Linked DNA regions of Struthio camelus. The protein of the gene in region 1 purifies or fractionates together with the protein of each later gene. This does not show direct contact. Links are inferred from orthologs where the notes say so. Each region holds a gene or a part of one and is shown on either strand. Other genes may lie near its edges.

Region 1 (7,579 bases):
GGCAGTGTGGGGCAGCAGCTGTGGGGCGGCGCGGGGCGGTGGGGAGCCGTGGGGAGCCGTGGGGCGGCGTGGGGCGGCGCGGGGCGGCGCAGGGAGCCGTGGGGAGCCGTGGGGCGGCGTGGGGCGGCGCGGGGAGCCGTGGGGCGGCGCGGGGAGCCGTGGGGAGCCATGGGGCGGCAGGCGTGGGGCCGTGGGGAGCCGTGGGGCAGCGCGGGGCGGCGCGGGGAGCCGTGGGGAGCCGTGGGGAGCCGTGGGGAGCCGTGGGGCGGCAGGCGTGGGGCGGTGGGGCGGCGCGGGGCGGCGCGGGGACGCCGAGGTGCCGGCGGGCCGCAGGCGACGTCGCTGCCGGTGACGGAGGCGCTGATCGAGCGGGAGAGCGGGGCGCAGCTGCGGCGCTGGCGGGAGACGCGGGGCGAGCTGCAGCGCCCGCCGCCCCGGCGCCTGCACGGGGCCCGCGCCATCCTGGAGGAGCGGCAGCGCCGGGGGGGCCCCCCCGCCGCCCCCCCCCGCCGGGAGCCGGCGCCCGGCACGGAGGGGCGCCCGGAGCAGAGGCACCGGCTGGAGGCGCGCAAGGAGGGGTTGCACGAAGGGCAGACGTGCAAGGAGCGGTTGCACGAGGTGGAGACGTGCAAGGAGCGGTTGCACGAAGGGCAGACGTGCAAGGAGCAGTTGCACGAGGCGGAGGCGTGCAAGGAGCGGTTGCACGAGGCGGAGACGTGCAAGGAGCAGTTGCACGAGGTGGAGACGTGCAAGGAGCAGTTGCACGAGGTGGAGACGTGCAAGGAGCGGCTGCACGAGGCGGAGGCGTGCAAGGAGCGGTTGCACGAAGGGCAGACGTGCAAGGAGCAGTTGTACAAGGTGGAGACGTGCAAGGAGTGGTTGCACGAAGGGCAGACGTGCAAGGAGCAGTTGTACAAGGTGGAGACGTGCAAGGAGTGGTTGCATGAGGCGGAGACGTGCAAGGAGCAGTTGCACGAGGCGGAGACGTGCAAGGAGCAGTTGCACGAAGGGCAGACGTGCAAGGAGTGGCTGCACGAGGTGGAGACGTGCAAGGAGCAGTTGCACGAGGCGGAGACGTGCAAGGAGCAGTTGTACAAGGTGGAGACGTGCAAGGAGCGGTTGCACGAGGCGGAGACGTGCAAGGAGCGGTTGCACGAGGTGGAGACGTGCAAGGAGCAGTTGCACAAGGTGGAGACGTGCAAGGAGCAGTTGCACGAGGTGGAGATGTGCCAGGAGCGGTTGCACGAAGGAGAAGAGTGCAATGAACAATTGCACAAAGTGGAGGAGCGCCAGGAGCAATTGCACAAGACAGAAGAGCGCCAGGAGCGGCTGCACGAGGCGGAGACGTGCAAGGAGCAGTTGCACGACAAGCAGACGTGCCAGGAGCGGTTGCGCGAAGGAGAAGAGTGCGATGAACAATTGCAGGCAGCGCAGGAGCCCCAGGAGCAGCTGCCCAAAGCAGGGGAGCGCAACGAGCGCTTGCACAAGACAGAAGAGCGCCAGGAGCGGTTGCACGAGGCGGAGACGTGCAAGGAGCGGTTGCACGGGCCGGAGGGGCCCCAGGAGCGGCAGCGGGCGGCGCAGGGGTCCCGGCAGCGGCCGGCGGCCAGGGGGCTGCTGGAGAAGTGCCGGCAGCGGCTGCAGGGCAAGGGGGCGGCAGCGGCCCCCGAGAAGGCGCCATCGAAGCGGCCGGCGCGGAAGGCGGCGGCGGCGGCAGCGGCGGCACCAGGGGCGGCCGGGGACCGGGACCCCCCCGGGCGGCAGGACGCCTACTTCTGAGCCAGGTGGGAGTTGCCTCCGTCCGTCCCTCCATCCGTCCATCCCTCCCTCCATCCCTTCGTCCGTCCCTCCATCCATCCGTCCGTCCATCCCTCCGTCCCTCCCTCCATCCCTCCATCCATTCCTCCGTCCGTCCCTCCGTCCATCCCTCCCTCCATCCCTCCATCCATTCCTCCCTCCGTCCCTCCCTCCATCCCTCCATCCATCCGTCCGTCCATCCCTCCGTCCATCCCTCCGTCCATCCATCACTCTGCCCCTCCATCCCTCCATCCCTCCGTCCCTCCCTCCATCCCTCCATCCATTCCTCCCTCCGTCCGTCCATCCCTCCCTCCATCGCTCCAGCCGTCCCTCCATCTGTCCATCCCTCCGTCCCTCCGTCCGTCCATCCCTCCGTCCATCCCTCCCTCCAGACGCCCCCGGGATGGACGGCTCGGTTTGATCGGCAGCTGCCTTTGATTGACAGCTTGCTTTGATCGGCAGCTCTGGTTGACTGACAACTGCCTTTGATTGGCGGCTCCCTTCATTGGCAGCTGCCTTTGATTAATGATTCCCGCTGATTGACAGCTGCTTTTCACTGCTGGCTCCATTTGATTGACAGCTGCCATTGATTGACAGCCGCTGTGGGTGGCAGTTACCTTTGATTGACAGCTGCCTTTGATTGACAGTTGCGTGTGGTTGGCTGCCACCTTTGATTAGTGGATTGCATTGATTGACAGCTGCCTTTGATTGGCAGCTGCCGTTCATGCATGTGACCGCCGGCTTCGGAGTGACGCCCTGCCCAGCCTTTGATTGACACCCTCATTGGATTGATGGCTCCCTTTGATTGACAGGCCACCCCACCTTTGATTGACAGCTCCCCTTGATTGACAGCTCCCCATCCATCAACTCGCCGGCCTGCCTCCGGTTGACGGCTCCTGCGATTGATTGACAGCTCCTGGGATTGATCGATGGCTCCTGGGATTGATCGATGGCTCCTGGGATTGACCGCTCCTGCGATTGATTGACAGCTCCTGCGATTGATTGACAGCTCCTGGGATTGATCGATGGCTCCTGGGATTGATCGATGGCTCCTGGGATTGACCGCTCCTGTGATTGATTGATGGCTCCTGTGATAGACAGCTCCTGTGATTGATTGACAGCTCCTATGATTGACACTCCGGGCCCGGTGCCCCCCTCCCCCCCCGGGGCTGCCCGGACGCCTGGGCCCCCTCCTCCCCCCCCCCAGCGCTTATTTAACGGGACGACACTGGACCCCCCCCCCCCCGGACGCCCCTCGTTAGCGGCGGGTCGTTAGCGCCCCCCGTTCCGGGGGGGCTGCGGCTTTGTGGCTTCGTTTGAAGGAAAAAACAGCGAGACGGGGTTAACGAGGAGCCCCCAAACGAGCGGCCCGGCCCCGAGTCGTCCTTGGGGGCTGCGGGGGCGGTTTGGGGGGGCAGGAGCGGGGGGGGCTGAGGGAAACGGGGGATTTGGGGGGGGAAGGGGCGTTTTGGGGGGTCCCAGGCGGTTCGGGGGGGCAGGAGTGGGGGGGGCTGAGGGAAACGGGAGATTTGGGGGGGAAAGGGGTGTTTTGGGGGGTCCCAGGCGGTTCGGGGGGGCAGGAGCGGGGAGGGCTGAGGGAAACGGGAGATTTGGGGGGAAAGGGGCGTTTTGGGGGGTCCCAGGCGGTTCGGGGGGGCAGGAGCGGGGGGGGCTGAGGGAAACGGGGGATTTGGGGGGGAAAGGGGCGTTTTGGGGGGTCCCAGGCGGTTCGGGGGGGCAGGAGCGGGGGGGGCTGAGGGAAACGGGGGATTTGGGGGGGGAAGGGGCGTTTTGGGGGGTCCCAGGCGGTTCGGGGGGGCAGGAGTGGGGGGGGCTGAGGGAAACGGGAGATTTGGGGGGGAAAGGGGTGTTTTGGGGGGTCCCAGGCGGTTCGGGGGGGCAGGAGCGGGGAGGGCTGAGGGAAACGGGAGATTTGGGGGGGAAAGGGGCGTTTTGGGGGGTCCCAGGCGGTTCGGGGGGGCAGGAGCGGGGGGGGCTGAGGGAAACGGGGGATTTGGGGGGGAAAGGGGCGTTTTGGGGGGTCCCAGGCGGTTCGGGGGGGCAGGAGCGGGGGGGGCTGAGGGAAACGGGGGATTTGGGGGGGGAAGGGGCGTTTTGGGGGGTCCCAGGCGGTTCGGGGGGGCAGGAGCGGGGGGGGCTGAGGGAAACGGGGGATTTGGGGGGGGAAGGGGCGTTTTGGGGGGTCCCAGGCGGTTCGGGGGGGCAGGAGCGGGGGGGGCTGAGGGAAACGAGGGATTTGGGGGGGGAAGGGGCGTTTTGGGGGGTCCCAGGCGGTTCGGGGGGGCAGGAGCGGGGGGGGCTGAGGGAAACGAGGGATTTGGGGGGGGAAGGGGCGTTTTGGGGGGTCCCAGGCGGTTCGGGGGGGCAGGAGTGGGGGGGGCTGAGGGAAACGGGAGATTTGGGGGGGAAAGGGGTGTTTTGGGGGGTCCCAGGCGGTTCGGGGGGGCAGGAGCGGGGGGGGCTGAGGGAAACGGGGGATTTGGGGGGGGGGAAGGGTGGGTTTGGGGGTCTCCCAGGCGGTTTGGGGTGGTTTCAGGAGGAAATGGAGGGCTGGGGGTGGCTCGGGGTGTTGAGGGGGGTTTGGGGGGGGAAGGGAGTTTTGGGGGATCCCGGGGGAAATGGGGGTCACGTGGGGCTGGGGGGGCAGGGCCAGGGTGGGTGGGGGAGGAAATGGGGTCGCGGCCCCTTTAAGAGCTGCCCACACTGCCCGCCGGCGCTGAAGCCGCAGTCCTGCCCGGGCCGTGACGCCACTTCCGCCCTGCCGCCCGCCCTGCCCCGGAAGTGCTTCCGTCGCGGTAGCGCAGCCACCGGCGGGGCCGCGGGGTGAGCGGCCCGCGCGCGCCTTACCGGGGGTGGGGGGGTGGGGGGGGTTCATTTACATATTCAAATGAGGCACCCCGCGGCGCCCCTGGGAGCCGCCCCCTGGGGGGCGGTTTTGGGGGGGTTTGGGGCAGTTTAGGGGGCGGCCCAGAGCCCGGGGGGAGCCGGGACCCCACGGCCGAGTCGGGGAGCTTCGAGGGGTCCCCGTGGGCGGCGGCGGGTGGCGAGCGCCGCCAGTCGCCGTGGCCTGGGGGCGGGGGGGAGGGGCTTTAGTATGGGCGTGGCGAGCGCGGCTCATTTGCATATGCAAATAGGAGGTGTGTTAACGGGGGGTTAATGGGGGGGGACGATGGGGTTAAGAGCGGGCTGGTGGGGGCCTTAATGGGGGGGGGGTCAAGGGGGCTGTTAACGGGGGTTATTGGGGGCAGTTAATGAGCTGCTGGGGATTAACGGGCCTTAATGGGGCAAACGGGGGCTACTGGGGGGGAATGGGGAGCTAATGAGGGCCAGGGGGCAGTTAACGGGGGCTGCTACTGGGGGGTCACTGGGAGTCACTGGGAGCTGTTAGTGGGGGTTACTGGGGGCTGGTAATGGGGGTCACTGGGGGCTGGTAGTGGGGTGGTTACTGGGGGTCACTGGGGGCTGGTAGGGGGGGTCACTGGGGGTGACTGGGGGCTGGTAGTGGGGGGTTACTGGGGGTCACTGGGGGCTGGTAGTGGGGGGTTACTGGGGGTGACTGGGGGCTGGTAGGGGGGTCACTGGGGGCTGGTGGCGGAGGCTGTTCGTGGGGCTAACGAGGGGCCACGGGGGCGTCGCTAACGAGGGGCCGTTAACGGAGCTGCGTGCCCCCCCCCCCCCAGCATGGCCAAGCGCAAGGTGACGTTCGAGGACCCCGAGGACGAGGAGGAGCCGGGGCCCCCCCGCAAGAGGGTGAGGGGCTGGGGGGCACCGGGGGGGGCCAGGGGCTGCTGGGGGGCACCAGGGGGCTAGTGGGGGCGGCTGGGGGGCACCGAGGGGCAGCTGTGGGGCGCTGGGGGGCAGCCGAACCTGGGGACTGTGCAGGCCCCAGGACCCCTGGGTGAGCTGTGGGGCAGCTGGAGGGTGCCGGGGGGCTGGAGCTGGGGGTTGTGGGGGCCCCAGGGGCTGGGGGGCTGCCGTGGGGGGGGCGTGGGTCGCCGTGGGTCACGGTGGGGCTGACCCACACGGGGGGCGGGGGCCGTGGGTCATGGCGGGGGTCACGGTGGGGCTGACCCACGCAGGAGGCGGGGGCTGTGGGGGGCCGGGGGTCACGGTGGGGCTGACCCACGCAGGAGGCGGGGGCCGTGGGGGGCCGGGGGTCACGGTGGGGCTGACCCACGCAGGAGGCGGGGGCCGTGGGGGGCCCCGGGAGCCGGTTCCCGGGGAAGCACTCGCTGGACAGCGACGAGGAGGACGAGGCCGAAGGCAGCAGCAAGTACGACGTGCTGGCGCCCCACGACGTGGAGGGTGAGCGGGGCGCCGGGGGTCGCCGTGGGGCGGCGGGGGGTGGCCGGGGGTCGCCGTGGGGCGCTGACCCCCGTCTCAGGGCAGGAGGCGGCGACGCTGGAGGCCGAGGGCGGGGTGCCCGTCACCCCCTTCAACCTGCAGGAGGAGATGGCCGAGGGGCACTTCGACTCCGAGGGCAACTACTTCCCGCGGCGCGAGAAGCTGCTCCGGGACAGCTGGCTGGACAACATCGACTGGGTGAGGGGGGACACGGGGACCTGGGGGACACCAGGGACGGGCTGGAGAACCTCGATGGGACATGGGGACACAGCAGGGTGCAGGGACATGGGGGACACCAGGGACAGGCTGGAGAACCTCAATGGGACATGGGGACACAGTGGGATGCAGGGACATGGGGGAACACCAAGGACAGGCTGGAGCACCTCAATGGGACGTGGGGGACATGGTGGAGGATGCCAGGGATAGCTTGGAGCATCTCAATGGGACGTGGGGGACATAGTGGAGGACATGGGGACAGGCTGGAGCACCTCAATGGGACGTAGGGGACACAGGGGACGGGCTGGAGCACATTAATGGGACGTGGGGGACATGGTGGGGGACACCGGGGACGGGCTGGAGCACCTCAACGGGACGTGGGGGACACCAAGGACAGGCTGGAGCACCTCAATGGGACATGGGGGACGTGGTGGAGGACATGGGGACAGGCTGGAGCACCTCAACGGGACGTGGGGGACGTGGTGGAGGACATGGGGACAGGCTGGAGCACCCCAACGGGACGTGGGGGACACCAAGGACAGGCTGGAGCACCTCAATGGGACATGGGGGACATGGTGGGGGACACCGGGGACGGGCTGGAGCACCTCAACGGGACGTGGGGGACATGGTGGAGGACATGGGGACAGGCTGGAGCACCTCAACGGGACGTGGGGGACACCAACGACAGGCTGGAGCACCTCAATGGGACGTGGGGGACATGGTGGAGGACACCGGGGACGGGCTGGAACACCTCAATGGGACGTGGGGGACATGGTGGGGGACACCGGGGGACGGGCTGGAGCACCTCAACGGGATGTGGGGGACATGGTGGAGGACACTGGGGACGGGCTGGAGCACCTCAATGGGACGTGGGGGACATGGTGGGGGACACCGGGGGACGGGCTGGAGCACCTCAACGGGACGTGGGGGACATGGTGGAGGACATGGGGACAGGCTGGAGCACCTCAATGGGATGTGGGGGACACCGGGGACGGGCTGGAGCACCTCAACGGGACGTGGGGGACGTGGTGGAGGACACCGGGGACGGGCTGGAGCACCTCAACGGGACGTGGGGGACATGGTGGAGGACACCGGGGACGGGCTGGAGCACCTCAACGGGATGTGGGGGACATGGTGGGGGACACCGGGGGATGGGCTGGAGCACCTCAACGGGACATGGGGGACATAGTGGAGGACATGG
Region 2 (7,302 bases), on another chromosome or scaffold:
GCTGGTCATCCTCCCACTGCTGCCGCTCCTCCTCCGTCTCAAAGGCAATGCCCTCTTCCCCATCTTCACGCCGCCCTAGAGAAAGCAAACTAGTCAATATAGGCCCCCCAGCCCTACCCCACTGCCACTTGTGGAGGGAATCCCACAGAACCTTTCCTTATGCTGTAGAGGGTGAAGAGGAGGATTAAGCCATTCCCCAGCATAGCAGCCCAGCCCCAGGCTCCTCACCTTTACCTCTGGACAGCCGTGGCGTGGCCCCCAAGTGTCTCCGGTCATCAGCCCACTCATTATATTTGTACGATGGGGTGGGCAACGGCGTCTTATCCCAGTACCTGCTCCTCACAGACCTGAGGAAACAGCACGAGGGAAAAATTAATGCCGACAGCCAGGTACTGCTCTTGCACGTGCCCTTCCTTCTTCTGCAGATCACCAACTCATAGCCACGGTCCTTTGTTCCAGGTTCTGATACCTGTCCCGATCTCTTCGATCTGTGTCTCGCAAGGACGACGCCCTGTGGCTGCGCTCAGAGTCCCGATAGGAAGACACAGGCGATGGAGATTCCCACTGTGAGCGGCGGGTACTGCTGTAACCACTATCATCCTCCTCCCAGCTGGAGCGAGATGGTGTGGCTGAATCTAGAAGAGATGGGGTTTGACATCTGATGCTCGCACAGTGAGCCAGGGCACCTGGCACTGGTGTCACCTTACACCTTTTAGCAAGGAGCACGGAGACAGAGTACCCGTTCGCTCTCCCTCTAAGAGATAAGAGATGGACCTGACCCAGTAAGTCAAAGGAAAACGGACAGAGGACCATATCCTTATCACACAGACCCAGAAGAGCTCCCCAGAGGGCTGGGATCAGGCAGACTTCCACACACAACTGGCAGGATCACTCCCAGGCCCACGTCCAGGAAAAGCTAGTAGCTTTACGCTTGCCCTAACCACAGACCTTAGAAAATACAGACATTTTTACCCACGCTTGCCCAGGTAAAAAGAGCAGCAACCCAAAAAAGGAATGTAACCCTTCCCATTAAGGCAGTGTCCCACTAGGTCGCACTCCTACCTTTCGGTCTGTGTCTCGGACTCTCTGGTTCACTCCTCCTGCTGCTCCGCTCTGATGAGCCATCCCTTTCTGATCTGCTGCTGTGACGACTTTTGTCCCGCTCCTCTGTGGACAGAGGATAAGATAGGTAAGATTAGGTGCTCACTGCACAAGCAGGCTTCCCAAGTCTGCCCTAGAGAACATCCTAAAGATTACTCAAAGACTACAAAGATGCTGAGGAACGGGCCCAAAGGCTCTAAGCAGGAAGAGTCACAAAGATCTTAGAGCAGTTACCTCGGTCCCGTTTACGGTCATGGTCCCGATCCCTACTGCGTTCCTTCTTTCGTTCCTTCTCCTCCTTAGAGGAAGCAAAGACACCTTGCTCCCGACGCTCCCTTTCCCGCTGCCGGCTGCGTTCCCAAAACTCCTCACTCACACCCCCTGTGTAGGAAGGTGTCTCCACGTGGGCAGAACGGTAATGCCTGGGGAGTCAGAGCGGAGAGAAGAAGAGTGCTGAGGAATAGCTGGCCCTTGACTTGCCTTCATGCAACTCTAGTCCTAGTCTCTGCTACAGCAGGAGTGTGCAGCCAGAAATGCTCTCCCCATCCTTTTCTAACAGCCCAGCAGGTCTGTTCCTGTTTTCAGCTATGAGCAGACCGCAGCCTCCACAGACACAGAGCCAGCCAGTCACATGGATAGGATGACTGGCTTTTTCAGGCCTAACAGCACTCATGAACGCTCCGGGCTCTGACGTCTCAAGGAAGGCACCAGCAAAAAGCCTTTCCCAGACCTTCTCAGACCTGCAGAACTGTTCTACAGGCCTCTGCCGAGGAGACCTCCAGACCTCCTTGCCATGCAGGCACCTGCTTGTCACAGAGCTTGGCCCCCGCAGACACGGAGCAACTGCACATCGCCACAGAGCACGCTCGCGTTCGGTCCTCCCAGCGGGGGCCCCGCGGCTGCTAAACGCCCGGTGCCCCCAGCAGCCCCAGAGACCCCCAGGCAGCCCCTACCTGTCTTTGCGGCCGCTCCGACTGCTTGGGTCGCTCTCCTCCTCTTCGTCGTCCTCCTCCTCGGCGGGGCTGCCCGCCTCGTCCCGGCCCTCCTCCCAGTCCCTGTAGGAGGACACGCGGGAGCGCTTCCCGCCGGCCTCCTCCTCGCGCTCCCGCCGCTTCTGGGCTGCCAGCACGTCCAGGCCCAGCAGGGAGGCCCGCGGCGCCGGCGCCTTGAAGACGTGCTGCTCGGCAGCGGCGCTCCGCTTCCGCACGACCAGCCCGCCGGCCTCGCCGTCCGCGCTCGTCCCCGCCAGCCGGTGCAGCGACTCCTCGCCCGCCTCGCCCATCGCCGCTACCACGCCGCAAGGGGCCGGGCGGCCGGGCCGCGGTCGGCACCCATGGGCTGCGGGGCACGGCTCAGCGGGGGTAGCGCCGCCGGCCGCCTCCCCCGGGCCGGACCGGACCCCGCTCTCCTCCCCAGCCCCGCCGCCTCCCCCGGGCCGGGCCGGCCGGGCCCCGCTCCCCTCCCCGGCCCCGCTCCGCTCCCCGGCCCCGCTCCCCTCCCCGGCCCCCCTCCGCTCCCCTCCCCGGGCCCGCTCTCCTCCCCGGCCCCGCTCCCCTCCCCGGCCCCCCTCCGCTCCCCTCCCCGGGCCCGCTCTCCTCCCCGGCCCCGCTCTCCTCCCCGGCCCCCCCTCCGCTCCGCTCCCCGGCCCCCCTCCGCTCCGCTCCCTGGCCCCGCTCCCCTCCCCGGCCCCCCTCCGCTCCGCTCCCCGGCCCCGCTCTCCTCCCCGGCCCCCCTCCGCTCCGCTCCCCGGCCCCGCTCCCCTCCCCGGCCCCCCTCCGCTCCGCTCCCCGGCCCCGCTCCCCTCCCCGGCCCCGCTCTCCTCCCCGGCCCCCCTCCGCTCCGCTCCCCGGCCCCGCTCCGCTCCCCTTCCCTCCCCGGCCCGGCCCCCACACCTGCCGGCAGTTGCCTCAGCGACCGCAGGCCAGCGCCCTGAGCGCCGCCATTGCCGCCCCACAGTGCTCCGCGAGAAGAGCCGCTCTAGCCCACGCGCACCATCGACGTGCCAGCCGGGGCCCGGCCGCACCACCTACCATAGAGTTCAAGGGTGGCTAGACAGCACGCGCCACAGGGAGGCCAGCGCACTTCCGGCGTAGGGAAACGTGCGTGAGGTCACGTGGCCGCGGGCGGGAGCGAGAAGGGGGCGGAGCCGCACGGGGGGCGGAGCCGCACGGGGGGCGGAGCCCGGAGACCGGCGGGGACATCCCACGGACCCACACGGGGGGGACCCCCATGGACCCACACGAAGGGATCCCGGAGACCCACACGGGGGGATCCCACGGACCCACAGGGAGAGGTGCGCTGCTAGACCTTGTACTAACAAACAAACAAGGTCCGGTTGGAGACGTGAAGGTTGGGGGCAGGCTGCAGTGACCATGAGGTGGTGGAGTTCAGGATCCTGCAAGGAGAGAGCAGGGCAATAAGCAGGATCGCAACCCTGGACTTCAGGAGAGCCAACTGTGGCCTCTTCAGGGCCCTACTTGGAGGAGTCCCATGGGATAAGGCCCTAGAAGGAAGGGGGGTCCAGGAGAGCTGGTTAACATTCAGTTATCACTTCCAGCAGGTTCAAGACGGGTGCATCCCTCTGAGTAAGAAGTCGAGCAAAGAGGGCAGGAGACCTGCATGGATGAGTGAGGAACTCCTGACAAAAGTCCAACAGAAGAAGGAAGTGTACAGAATGTGGAAAAGGGGACAGGCCACTTGGGAGGAATACAGGGACGTTGTCAGAGTGTGCAGGGATGCGACAAGGAAGGCTAAGGCCCAGTTGGAATTAAATCTGTCAAGGGATGTCAAGGACAACAAGAAGGGGTTCTTCAAATACATCAATAGCACAAGGAAGACTAGGGAAAACGTGGGCCTGCTGCTGAATGGGGCGGGTGCCCTGGTGACAGAGAAGGCAAGAAGGCAGAGCTGCTGAATGCCTTCTTTGCTTCAGTCTCTCCTGCTAAGGCCAGTCCTGAGGAATTCCAGACCCTGAGGACAAGAGAGGAAGTCTGGAGAAAGGAAGACTCTCCCTTGGTCAAGGAGGATCAGGTTAGAGATCATTTGTGGAAACTTGACATCAACAAATCCATGGGCCCCAATGGGATGCACCCACAAGCGCTGAGGAAACTGGCAGATGTTATTGCTAGGCCACTCTTCATCATCTTGGAAAGGTCCTGGAGAACAGGAGAGGTGCCTGAGGCCTGGAAGAAAGCCAGTGTCATGCCAGTCTTCCCAAAGGGCCAGAAGGAGGAGCCAGGAAACTACAGGCCTGTCAGCCTCACCTGCATCGCTGGAAAGGGGATGGAACAACTCATCTTGGAGGTCCTCCCCCAAGCATGAGGAGGACAAGCAGGTGATCAGGAGTAGTCAGCATGGCTTCACCAAAGGGGAATCATGCTTGACCAATCTGATAGCCTTCTCTGATGGGATGACTGGCTGGGTAGATGAGGGCAGAGCAGTGGATGGTGTCTACCTGGACTTCAGCGAGGCTTCTGACACTGTCTCCCATCCCATCCTCCTAGGTAAACTCAGAAAGCGTCGGTTGGCTGAGTGGACAGTGAGGTGGATTGAGAACTGGCTGGATGACAGAGCTCAGAGGGTTGTGGTCAGTGGTGCAGCCTAGTTGGAGCCCTGTAGCTAGCGGTGTCCACCAGGGGCCAGTACTGGGTCCACTCTTGTTCAATGTGTTCATCAATGACCTGAGTGAAGGGACAGAGTGCCTCCTCAGCAAGTTTGCTGATGATACTAAACTGGGAGGAGTGGCTGACACACCAGGAGGCTGTGCTGCCATTCAGAGGGACCTGGACAGGCTGGAGAGTTGGGCAGAGAGGAAACTCATGAAGTTCAACAAAGGCAAGTGCAGGGTCCTGCACCTGGAGAGGAATAACCCCATGCATCAGGAGAGGTTGGAGAGGAATAACCCCAGGCACCAGGACAGGACACACCTGCTGGAAAGCAGCTCTGCAGAGAAGGACCTGGGAGCCCTGGTGGACAACAAGTTAAGCATGAGCCAGCAGTGTGCCCTTGCAGCCAAGAAGGCCAATGGGATCCTGGGCTGCATGGGGCAGAGTGTTGCCAGCAGGTGGAGGGAGGTGATCCTGCCCCTCTCCTCAGCCCTGGGGAGGCCTCACCTGGAGTACTGTGTCCAGTTCTGGGCTCCCCAGTGCAAGAGAGACATGGCACTGCTGGAGAGAGTCCAGCAGAGGGCTGCAAAGATGAGGAGGGGACTGGAGCATCTCTCACGTGAGCAAAAGGCTGAGAGAGCTGGGCCTGTTCAGCCTGGAGAGAAGGCTGAGGGTATATGAGATGTATTGTATACAATATGAGATGTATACAAGTGTCTGAAGGGAGGGTGTCAAGAGGATGGGGCCAGGCTCTTCTCTGTGGTGCCCAGCGACAGGACAAGAGGCAACGGGCACAAACGGAAACACAGGAAGTTCTGTCTGAACACGAGGAAGAACTTCTTTCCTGTGAGGGGGACAGAGCACTGGAACAGGTTGCCCAGAGAGGTTGTGGGGTCTCCTTCCCTGGAGATATTCAAAACCCACCTGGACATGATCCTGGGCAACGTGCTCTAGAGGACCCTGCTTGAGCAGAGGGGTTGGACTAGATGATCTCCAGAGGTCCCTTCCAACCTCAACCATTCTGTGATTCTGTGATCCCACTGACCCACACAGGGGCGATCCTGGAAGATCCACATGGGGGGGGGGGATCCCACAGACCCACACAGGGGTGATCCTGGAGACCCACATGGGGGGGGAATCCCATCGAGCCATGTGGGGGGATCCCACAGACTCACGGTGGGGGAAAAGGGGCACCCCACGTGCACCCCAGAGGCAGGGACACACACACAGCCCTGGGTGCAGTGTACACACACACGCATGCACGCGCACACCCCCCCCCACAGACACATAGGTGCAGCATGCACACACACGTGTGCGTGCAGCGCAGGGAGGCAGCGACAGAGGCACCGGAGCCGTTGGCGAGGCGCGGGGTGGTTTATTGCGGGCTGGCAGCCCCGGCCCCATCGTCGGCCAGGGTCTGCTTCACCCAGTCGAGGACGTGCTCCACGCTGACGTAGACGCCATACTTGGAGGCCGAGCAGGTCTTGTCGTAGCTGAGGATGCCGGCGGCGTACCAGGTGTCGTCCTCGGGGTCCCGCACGGCGAACGCCCCGCCGGCGTCCCCGTAGCACGTGTCCTCCCGCAGCTCGCTCATGCCCACGCAGAAGGTGTGCTTGCTGAGGAGGGGCGGCACGCCGTGGGGTCCCCGGGCCGCGTAGTACTCTGCGCACTTCTCGCTCTCCGCCACCGGCAGCATCACGTACTTCAGCAGGTCTGAGAAGGCGAAGGTGGCCCCGCGGCCCCAGCCCGCCACATAGCCCACCCGCCCTGGCTGCAGGTAGTCCTTCTGCGCCAGGCAGATGGGCATCACCTCCTCTCCCAGCAGCACCTTCTCCTTGAGCTTGAGCAAGGCCAGGTCCACGGCCTTGGGGTACTCGGGGTGCAGCACGATGCGCTCCACCCGCGGGGCGAGCTGCTCCTTGCCGCCCAGGAAGAGCTGCAGCGTGGGGGCGATCTCGGCCGGGTCGGCGTCCGCGCTGTGGTTCAGGTAGACGTTCCTGCCGGTGGTCAGCAGCCACTGGTCGCTGATGAGCGTGGCCCCCACGGTGAGGTTGTGGCGCGTCACCAGCCGGCCCTGCCAGGGGAAGCTGCCCTTGCCGGCCAGCAGGCCCCCGATGATGCGCTGCGTCTGCGTGGCCGGGTGCGCCGGCTTCCCGCACACTGCCGAGGAGGACGAGGCCCCGTGAGCCCCCGCCGCTCGCCCCAGGGGCGCCTGGCGGCCCCGGCGCAGGGGGCTCCTGCTGCAGGCAGCCCGGCTGCGGCAGCCCCTAGCCCGCCAGCCCAGGCCGCTCACCCGGCTCGCAGACGGGCAGCTCCTCTCCGGCCTCGGCGTTCACCCACACGTGCTTCTCGTGGCACTCGTACGTGCCTGCAGAGGCAGGAGGGGGTCGGCGCCCGGCCGCAGCGGGGCGCCGGGGCCGGGGCCCGGCAGGCGCAGGCGGCCCAGCGCGGGCGGCAGCGGCGCGCCGCCCGACCCGGCGAGGGGTGGGGGCCCGGGGCCGCGCTCCTCACCGTCGCCGGAGCTGCGCAGCTGGTAGTAGGGGTCGCAGCGGTACCTGACCAGGTGCTCCACGCGGCCGTGCTCGATGGCCGCCGG

Evidence for each region. Proteins that work in one complex are often made in the same cells at the same time.
Region 2: the proteins of CD2BP2 (region 1) and DHX38 purify together in Homo sapiens (affinity purification with mass spectrometry; 3 studies listed by BioGRID and IntAct, counting the BioPlex papers as one, with this or other methods). This does not show direct contact. The link is inferred for Struthio camelus from reciprocal best matches to the Homo sapiens genes CD2BP2 and DHX38.

What each region holds. Positions count from the first base shown.
Region 1 is NC_090973.1:156,622-164,200, reverse strand, and holds the start of CD2BP2 (CD2 antigen cytoplasmic tail-binding protein 2), read left to right. Parts: upstream 1-4,475; 5' UTR 4,476-4,641; intron 4,642-5,498; 5' UTR 5,499-5,499; coding exon 5,500-5,568; intron 5,569-5,999; coding exon 6,000-6,123; intron 6,124-6,202; coding exon 6,203-6,360; intron 6,361-7,579. Other genes in the region: TBC1 domain family member 10B-like, read left to right, coding at 334-1,779. UniProt on the Homo sapiens protein: Involved in pre-mRNA splicing as component of the U5 snRNP complex that is involved in spliceosome assembly.
Region 2 is NC_090951.1:490,929-498,230, reverse strand, and holds the start of DHX38 (pre-mRNA-splicing factor ATP-dependent RNA helicase PRP16), read right to left. Parts: upstream 3,168-7,302; 5' UTR 2,994-3,167; intron 2,440-2,993; 5' UTR 2,384-2,439; coding exon 2,055-2,383; intron 1,524-2,054; coding exon 1,336-1,523; intron 1,168-1,335; coding exon 1,063-1,167; intron 636-1,062; coding exon 470-635; intron 348-469; coding exon 229-347; intron 76-228; coding exon 1-75. Other genes in the region: haptoglobin-like, read right to left, coding at 6,082-6,866, 7,000-7,074, 7,218-7,302. UniProt on the Homo sapiens protein: Probable ATP-binding RNA helicase. Involved in pre-mRNA splicing as component of the spliceosome.